Linked DNA regions of Caenorhabditis elegans. The gene in region 1 interacts genetically with each later gene. Each region holds a gene or a part of one and is shown on either strand. Other genes may lie near its edges.

Region 1 (4,092 bases):
TTCGTTGTTTTCGAGGAGCTCTTCCTAGCTTTGTCGGCTGAAAATGGAATCGGTAATTTTAGTAGAATAGTATTTTGACCACAAAAATTCTAACTTCACTGAAATTAAACTATTGGACGTTTCAGAAAAACCTCCACCAGATGGTTGGCGTCGTCCAATGACTCCACGTCGATTGGGAACTGGAATGACTGATACCCGTTGGCTTCAACACGCTGTTAGTGGTCATCAGAGCAAGGGAAATGCAATGGCTGCTCCGGTGGATGCTGACATGACACCACAAGGTGCTTTGAGCAATAGAGCTCATCAGGCCAAGGCAAGAAAAGCTCACATTCTGTCGAGCAAGCCATTGTGGTGATTCGGATGTGGACATTGAAGTTATTTTCAGCTTTTAATTACTTTATGCAATTTTGTGCCATCTGTTTAATCTCGCTCTCATGCTTTTTTTGGAATTCGAAATTTATTAAACTTAGCGTTCTTTCCGATAAATAAAAATGAACATCCACCACACTTACATGTTTTTATAAAATATTATTCATCAACACCCTCAAATAAATTAAACTGTTGCGATGAAGTGGACCAGCCATCGATTGCTCTCCGACTAGTTCACAGTGGTGGTTTCGGAGAGTTTGACCAAAAAAGACGGCCAAATATCACATAAATTAGGACAGGGCTCGGGCCGATTTGAAGTTGGGGGGACGGAGAGAGAGAGAGAGATGGGTACCAATAACACACAGAAAATAGAAGCTCCCAGTGCCATCAAACAATCAAATTCTATTTAACAAAATTAAAACGGCTGCGTGGATTATTGTGGCTGTTGGTTAAGAATATTTTAATGGGGGAAAGGGATTTACACATTTTGGAGGAGAAGGGAATTTGGACATGTAAGTTGTGCAATTAGGTCTTGGAAAGCTGGTTGGATAGCCAGTCAAGTCCTTCGTAGAGTCCATGTCCTTGAGTTGCACATGTAGCTTGGATGTACCACTGAAAATTTTTCATTTACATTATAAATTTGGAAACAATTTTATTTATTCCGTGAGTGGACAATCTTTTATTCGATCAGATTAATACGCTTGTCCGGTTTCAAATTTTGATCGTCTATGCAGATAAGACTAAACAGAGAACGGAATCTCGAATACCACTCACCTGTCTTGAGCGGAGATTGTGAAGTCCAAGCTTGTCGGTCAATTCGGCGGCGGTCATAGCATTTGGAAGATCCTGCTTGTTGGCGAAAACGAGAAGAGTAGCGTCACGAAGTTCGTCCTCGTTCAGCATCTTATGTAGCTCTTCACGTGATTCTTCAATACGCTCCTTGTCGTTCGAGTCAACCTTAATTTTTAAAATATTTTAGATTTATAAATCGATTCGAATACTTACGACGAAGATAAGTCCTTGTGTGTTTTGGAAATAGTGCCTCCAGAGTGGACGGATCTTGTCCTGACCTCCGACATCCCACACAGTGAAGGAAATGTTCTTGTATTCAACAGTTTCAACATTGAATCCTGTAATATCAGATTATTAATTTTTACGAATTATGAAATACTGAAAAACACACATATTATAGAACTTGCGACTCTTTTGCAATAACCATTGATTCGAAAAATGCAAATATTTTCCTGAAATACTTACCGATAGTTGGGATCGTGGTGACGATCTCTCCAAGCTTGAGTTTGTAGAGGATCGTAGTTTTTCCGGCAGCATCGAGTCCGACCATCAATATACGAACCTTAAAATTAACACATTAAAACTGTGAGATTAAGCATTACAAAAACATACCTGTCTCTTGCCAAAAAGGCGATTGAAGAGGGAGGAGATTGTTAAACCCATAATGGAGCTGATTCAACACCTGAAATTATATAATTTAAAACAAATTTCCAGTTAGAATTTAAAAAAAACGATAGTAAAAGAAAAATACATAACACTCCAAAGCATGTGACACGTTCATTCAAAAAACAATTATTTTGTTCGTCTTTATAGCCATTTTAAAGCTTTTTTACAAGAAATATATCCATTTCAAACATTAAATATTTTGAAAATTTATTAATAATGATGAAAATCCAGAAAATTTGGTAAAAATCGGCAATAGCAACGTCGATTTGCTGGATGTCGTCCAGCCAGCCACACACGTGTAATTTCGATTAGTCGATCGTGGCGAGACCCGTCAGCCAGAAAACGCGCCCTCCCTTGAAGAATGCATTTATTTCTCGATGAGATCTCTCGATTTGGCCGCTTATTCGTCGCACAAAAGCCTGTTTTGTACAATTTTAAGTGACTGGATGTATTTTAGATAATATTACTTTAAAAACAAAACATTCCTGTACAAAATAATATCTGAAAGACAAGAAAATATAGTGTAAATCTTTAAATTAAAAAAAAAACATTTATTAAAGAGAAAAAAGAGAACAGAAAATGAGTATATTTTCTTAAAGCCAATCTGACATTCGCTCCACCAAGTGTTTTAGCTGCATTGCGTCCTGAATACTTCCTTTCACTTTTAAGTTTCCGTTCATATATACAGTGACTGGAGATACTTCCTTTGTTAGAATTTTTCCAAATACTTCCAAACTCGTTTCAAAAACCACGTCAGGATTTAAGGAAGTTCCTTTATACGCACTTCCAGATCCATGTTTCAAATCAATGCAAATGGGCTCAATATCTTTGCAATTAATTTGGAAAACTCTGCCAATTAGACGGACTAAGTGTTCATCCATAGCTAGGCTTGCCACAGATATAAGATGGTCGATATCAATGGAAGGAATATTTGGTGTATCTGTAGAAGTTCCCGCAGCTGAAGTTGAGGGAACATCCGACAAATCAACTAATGGTGCATTTTCTTTTGCTTTCTCTTCAGCTGCACATTCCTTTGCAAAGTCTTCGAATACTGGTCCAATAACTTGCCACAACTGTTGACCAGCATCGGATTTCGCAACGCTGCTCAACGCAGACATCCCCATGTTCTCTCCTTCCTTCACAATTTTCACATCGGAAATTTCCACGTCAGTGATTTCAACTCCGAATTGACACGTAAATGATCCCAGCTCATCCTTCAAATTAGCAGAAATTATTCTTCGATCTTGTGAGCTGGTTACATCACAGATCCGTTTCTTGCTGATATATCTGTATAGCATTGTATTTGCCAATGTTCGAACTGATGCATTTCTATCTTGAACTCCACAAACAGCTGCAATTGGATCTCTAATTTTTAGAAAAACAGTTGCCCCGAGTTCCACGAGACCACGATCTGTGGTTATTATCTGTAAATTAAAATTTTTTTTTAGACAAAATATTGTCAAGGCTAACCTGGAGTGGTGGGACATTGAACGCAGTAATAGACATTGTTACTTTATGTGTTGTATCTATACATGGAATAACTAAAGTTATACCAGGTCCTCTTGTCTTCTGAGCTCTTCCCAGGCGTAAAACTACCAATTTCTCACTGGTAGAGATGAACTGAAAAATTAAGCAAATTTTGAGAAACGGTTCTCTAGAAAATTATAATTACTACCTTTAACGCGAAAAGCAATGATAAGGGCATTGTCATCACAACAAACAAAAATGAAACACAGAAGATCAACAGTTCAATGGCGCTCAGGGGTTTTATCTGAAAAAAAACATGTTTAAGATATCATAAGTATATTTTAATTAAATTGTCTCGTGTGTGTTTCAATTAGTTTAGATATTTCCATTTTTGTTAAGGTTTCTATTTTGCCAAAATCTGCAAAAAATGTATGCTTTTTAAGAAATTTAGAGTACTGTTGCTTGTTCAAATGCCTACAATGCTCAGATGGAAAAAAATCATAGTAATTGTAGAACATTTTTTGGCGAATTTCAACAACCGAGTAATTTCAACTTTTTTATTTACTGAAAATAAAAATATTTCAAAAAAACCAATTCAAAGTTTTACTATCAAATAATTTCCTAAATGGCTCAATTTCACATTAAGTTTTGATAAAGAAAACCAAAATTTAATTTATTAAATAAAAACTCACATCGTCTTCCATATTAACACCATAATCTCTTGTGTATGTGAAGTTTCCGTATTTATTTCCCAGCATCATTCCTTGCCTGAAAAATTATTGAATAGTGATTCTTATT
Region 2 (5,270 bases), on another chromosome or scaffold:
ATGTTTGTTTTGAATTGATACCGTATATCATTTACATGAACGTTTGCAAAAACTGAATGATTAAACATCACATGATCTAATTCACTTTTCCTGACAAAATTACATCAATTGTATTAATTGTACATGTTTTAAATAAAATAAAACAATTCCATAAACATTTTGTGAAAAGGTTTCATTCTAAGAACAAATTATTTTCACAACATTTTTTCGAAGTAGATGAACCATAGAGAACATTTGAAAGATGTGCGGTATTTCTATGTCAAATTTGCTGGTTCAATGTGTATCATTACACTACATTTTAAAAATTTTAATTTGAATAAAAGAATAAGGTTGATTTTTTAATTCTCAGGCTGCTTAAAGTATTAATTCTAAAATTAACAAATAAACCGAAAACGACGTTTGAAGGCGGACTCCGATCTGCGGGGGAAGTTTTTCAAAACCATTCCTATGGTACAAAAATAATCAAATATACCATAATAAAATTATTCCAAAAACTTTGGAAAGTTTTTTTTATTTAAAATCAAAAAGCTCAATACTAAATGGTCACCAGTTTTTGCGGAAGTCCTCCATCATAAAATTTTCCATTTTTTATTTCAATTACATTCAAAATATTCAAATTTTAAAATGTATGGGGTTTGAACATTTGACAGTGATTTAAATTTTCAAGAAGTGGAGCAAACTCAGTATAAAATATGCTTCAAAATTGTTTTAATAAAAACCGTCTTGTTTTTTTTTAATTTTGCAGTTACCATCTCGGGATTGATTAAAGTTAAATTTTAAAGTTTGATTAAAAAATGTCAAATTACTGGTTTTGAGACTATAAATTTTTATGAAAATAACTAGAAAAGTAAGGAATTTTGAGAACATTTTCAAAAAATAACAGTTGCAAAATTTTCGTGGCAAGAATTATTTTCTTCTACATTTTACTTAATACAAATTTTCAAATTGCCGCACACTTACCGTTCCAGTGATTTTGTAAAATCACTGTAGATTGAAGCAACTTTCGTTTGGTCTCCACATCAAGACGACCACGATCCGCAAGCGATCGCAACTGAAATAAACTTTTATGTTTGGGTTCAAATGTTCAGAAGGCGGAGCACAGAGAAACTCGGTTAAAAGTAATGAAACGAGCAATAGAAGTTTGATAACATGCAGACAAGAGTGAAAACAACTCGTAGAAATGTAACAGGTGTTGTTGGAACACGAATGACGTTACCGAGTATACGGAGGCAATGCAAAAAAACAAAAACGTGTATGCTTTGGATCGCTAAAAACAATGAATGTTCCAGAAATGCTTCAGCATAGTTGTTCTCACAAAAAACATTCATTCAAAATCAACTCTAATATTTTGGCCAATTATCATATGAAAGGCCACTTGAAGTTTTCAAGTTTTGTTTCGAATTCAAATTTAACAATTGATTTGTTCAATGTTGTTGTAAATTAAATGGTAAAGTTATCTTAAAAAATTTGACAAATCAAGTTTTAAAAAAATCTTCAATGAAAAAAAGGAAATTTTTAAATCTGAAAAATTACCAAACTAGTTGATTTGTCAGATAAAAGTAAGACAAATTTCATTTCGAAAAACACTTCCTGCTGCAAAATGACTAAATGAAAAGTCGAAACTCAAATTCAAACAATTACGAAATGAGATGATAAAAATCAGTCAGATACATGACTTATGCATGTGCTAGCTGAGAGAAAGTTCGTGAGTCTTAAAAAACAACAATGAGCAGAATATCAATAGGTAACAATTAACCTAATCCTCTTTTTCTGTTTACTCTTCTTTTTTTGGATAACAAATTAGCTCACAAAAATCAGGAAAAAAACGGAGAGAGCTGCAGTTTTCTGGCCTCTAGAGAAAGAGAAGAGTGGGAAAGGAAAGGAGAGAAATGCAGAAAGTAGAAGGTGAAAAGAAAGAAAGAAGAGACGGAAACAGAAACGGAAAAACGAGAGGGAAAGAGCGTCAAAGCGCACTCCCAAACACCCCAAACCAATGGGAAGCGTAGAGGGAAATGAAAAGAAGTTTAAGAATAAAACGATAATGTTGAAGGTTGTGACCCGAATCAGCAGAAAGACATTTAGAAGGATATAGATATGCCTAGAACCCGATTTGTGAGTGTTTGTATGTTTCTGTTAGGTGTAAAATCAGGAAATGATGTGTGAGAAAAGAGAGAAAAGGTAGAGCAAAAAAGAGAAGGATCAAACCTCTTGGTTAGTGATGCTGAACAGAGCATTGAAATCGGTGATCGAGCAAATCTCCAAGTGCCGAATGTTTTGTGCGCTGAGCCCGACAAATGTGAACCAAATGGCGTTGATCTCACGCTTCTCGCGATCAATCAAACCAATTTTTGTCATTTGATAAACGGCCGAGAATATTTTGCGCTGTAAATTGAGAATCATTGGAATTTAGTTGACGTCAATGAAAGATTTCAGACCATTTGTTTCAGGTTGTTTCACCTTTTCATCTGTCTCTGATATCTTGATTACTAAAATTCGTAGAAAAAAAGAGTTACATTCACTTAAAGTTTTTAAATCTATTTTTTAAAAGCTTTGATATTTTGATATTTTTTCATATTCAAAATATCATAAACTCACTAAATTTAAAACATTTGAAAATCAACATTTGTTTGAAAGTAAGTTTCAGTTTTTCAAATATAACGATTAGCGTTTCATGCACGAAGTTGTGCATCTAAATTTTTAATTTTTTAAATTTATTATCAAAATACCATTATAGAATTTAATTATACAAATAAACTTTACAGTATAAACGGAAAACGTCTAGAAAAACGTTTAGTACCACAGATTGGTTTACCACAAAGATCTAAAACAATTTGGACTGAGGTGTCAATATATGTATAGTGTATTTTATGAACAAAACTTTAAAGCATCTTAAAAATTTTTTCTGCTGAATGAAGACTAGTCTGTCTTGAATTCATTTATTTACAGTTTATAAAACAACGATGCTCACGAATAGGAGAAGTTTGAATTTTTACAAAAGTTGTTTTTTTTTCAAAAAAACTTACTTCTACACTTTTTGCATCTTCTTCGTATGATGAAGTCAAAAATCGATTGATAGTGGTAAGTTTCAAACATTCTGCAACTTCGAATTGTTTTTTTTTAAATTTTTTTTACTAACCCTTCAAATTATTTATAGCCTGTGTCTTTATATCCTGTGCGATTCCTGCACCAAACTGCGGTAGATTACTGTATCCCGCACGTGATGCAACTTGGGTTTGCATCATTCTGTGTATTGATATTATTGGTTAGTTTTTACCTTCTCCGGATCTTTTCCCTGAAATAAATCTTTCGTTGGTTGAGCACAACGTTCAAAAGGTTGCCAAGAAAAAACAGTGCTGGTTTTTGGTCAACTTTTGGAAATCCCCGGTGCAAACGGAGCACGCTGTGAGCTCACACGTGCGCCACACTCTTTTTTGCTTGGTTTCTCATTTTGTGTATGTGTGTGTGTCGTCGCAATTATCAAATGGCTCCCTGTGAGCTCATCCTTCGTTTATGTATGTGTGGTAGTGGGAGCAGGGCAATACGAATGTATTTGGTGCTTTAGAAAGGCGTTAAATGACTAGAAAAGCAAACGAGCAAGTAATATTGAAAAGTGCCGAGTTTTTTCTGTTAGTATGGTTTGCATTCGTACTGTAAGGGAGCAAGACAATTAGAGAAAATATGTGTATGCCCCACAGTACAGTCAGAAATTTCAATTCATGAGTTAGTAAAATCTACAATATTTTCTTCCTACAAATTCCATCACAATTGGATGTTTACAATTCAAAGTCAAATTGCGATGACCAATATAAGTATGCTTACAGTTTGTTTACTATTACAACATCATCTACTCAAAAAAGGTGTGTATTAACCTTCTAGAAAAGTCGAAATCGTCCGGAAAGTAAATTAAAAGCTTTCGGCGGCTTTCTGCCATCGAAATTGTGAAGGTTGCGTGGCGAACAATTATGAGACAGGTTATGTACATTACTCAATTTAGAAGTGACGAGAAGAAAAGAAGAATTGGTATTTTCGACCACATTTTCTTTTCCGGTGGTTAGATTAGACTTATTACATCACAATGTCCCGATTTTTTTCAATGGCATTCTACTTTTATTTTGGCTTCTTTTGTTTCTTTAATTAGAATACTGTTCCAAATCCAATAATTGTACTCTACCAATATTAAATGTGTTTTTTTATTGAGTAGAAATATTCAACTATTTCACTTAAAAAATCGATTATCCTTTATCATCACTCCTAAGTAATTATAGTTTATCAATTTGAGTTTTACATTTTCCTAGCTTTGCGTATTAAAACTACCACAAATACAAAAATTAGGAAGCTTAACTTTTCTTTCTTTTTTAATTTTTCGCTTTCACATGAAATACCGAACAACAGTATGGCGCTTAAAAATTAAGCAATGCCGACCGAAAAGAGTAGTTGTGAGAAAAAATTGCCATAAGGCTTTGGTCGGAAGTTAAAAGAAACGTTGCATTCAAATACTGTTCAATATATTGGAGAAAATAATGCTAGAATGCTGAGAGTTGTGGAAAGAGAAAGAGGAAGAAAGATCGGCGTGCAAGCAAACAAACTGTTTGAACGTGATGAAGAGAAAAGGGGAGAACGGTGTGGATTGACAGTAGGAATAGTAGGAAAGGACGCAAAAATGTCGGGAAGACGGGAGGATGGGGGGAATAGTGTATGAATAAGAGAGAGAGGAGACTGTATGTCTATGGGGTGAGAGAAAATGGTCCGCAATGAGAAGACCACAACAGGTGTTCAAAATGTTGCGTAATCAACTTAAGAGTAGGTCAAGATTCATACCAGGAATGCATTGAACAAGCTTTTAGTTCCTGGTTTGCTGGCAGATCACAACTAATTTAGTGTAACATCTCGGCAAAGTCAACATTAAAAATGTTGTTCCTGCTCGATGAAAATTTTGAAAGTAATTATGGGTAGTTTGTTGAACGTGCCAAAAACTATGGTAAAGTTAGCCAAAAATTAGGGTAAAATATAAGTACTGAAGTAATAGCAATTACGTTTTAAAAGACGACTAATGGACCAAAATGTTTAGACTGTGTTTTAAAAAGAGACTTCTCAAAAAATGCTGTTTAAAATGAAAACCGATTGTATTTAGCAGAAAAATTTAAAGTTTACAAATTTATACGCGTCGCAGCGGACAACAAACATTTTTTGTTGAACTATCACTATTCATTGATTTTAGTCCTTTATTACAAATTTTATGATAAAAGACGTGAATTTGGATGTGCATTGAC

Evidence for each region.
Region 2: of arf-5 (region 1) and ksr-1, changing one enhances a phenotype caused by changing the other (phenotypic enhancement), as found in Caenorhabditis elegans (one large-scale study listed by BioGRID).

The regions. Positions count from the first base shown.
Region 1 is NC_003282.8:7,980,277-7,984,368, reverse strand, and holds arf-5 (ADP-ribosylation factor), read right to left. Parts: upstream 1,844-4,092; 5' UTR 1,825-1,843; coding exon 1,774-1,824; intron 1,724-1,773; coding exon 1,627-1,723; intron 1,500-1,626; coding exon 1,375-1,499; intron 1,327-1,374; coding exon 1,144-1,326; intron 982-1,143; coding exon 895-981; 3' UTR 517-894; downstream 1-516. Other genes in the region: mec-17 (Alpha-tubulin N-acetyltransferase 1), read left to right, coding at 1-52, 126-355; unc-24 (Band 7 domain-containing protein), read right to left, coding at 2,421-3,041, 3,087-3,251, 3,298-3,447, 3,503-3,598, 3,987-4,062.
Region 2 is NC_003284.9:8,273,191-8,278,460, reverse strand, and holds the start of ksr-1 (Kinase suppressor of Ras A), read right to left. Parts: upstream 3,293-5,270; 5' UTR 3,243-3,292; coding exon 3,137-3,242; intron 3,095-3,136; coding exon 3,024-3,094; intron 2,383-3,023; coding exon 2,206-2,382; intron 1,052-2,205; coding exon 961-1,051; intron 1-960. UniProt on the Caenorhabditis elegans protein: Serine/threonine-protein kinase which positively regulates Ras-mediated signaling probably acting at the level of let-60/ras or/and lin-45/raf. Involved in sex myoblast migration.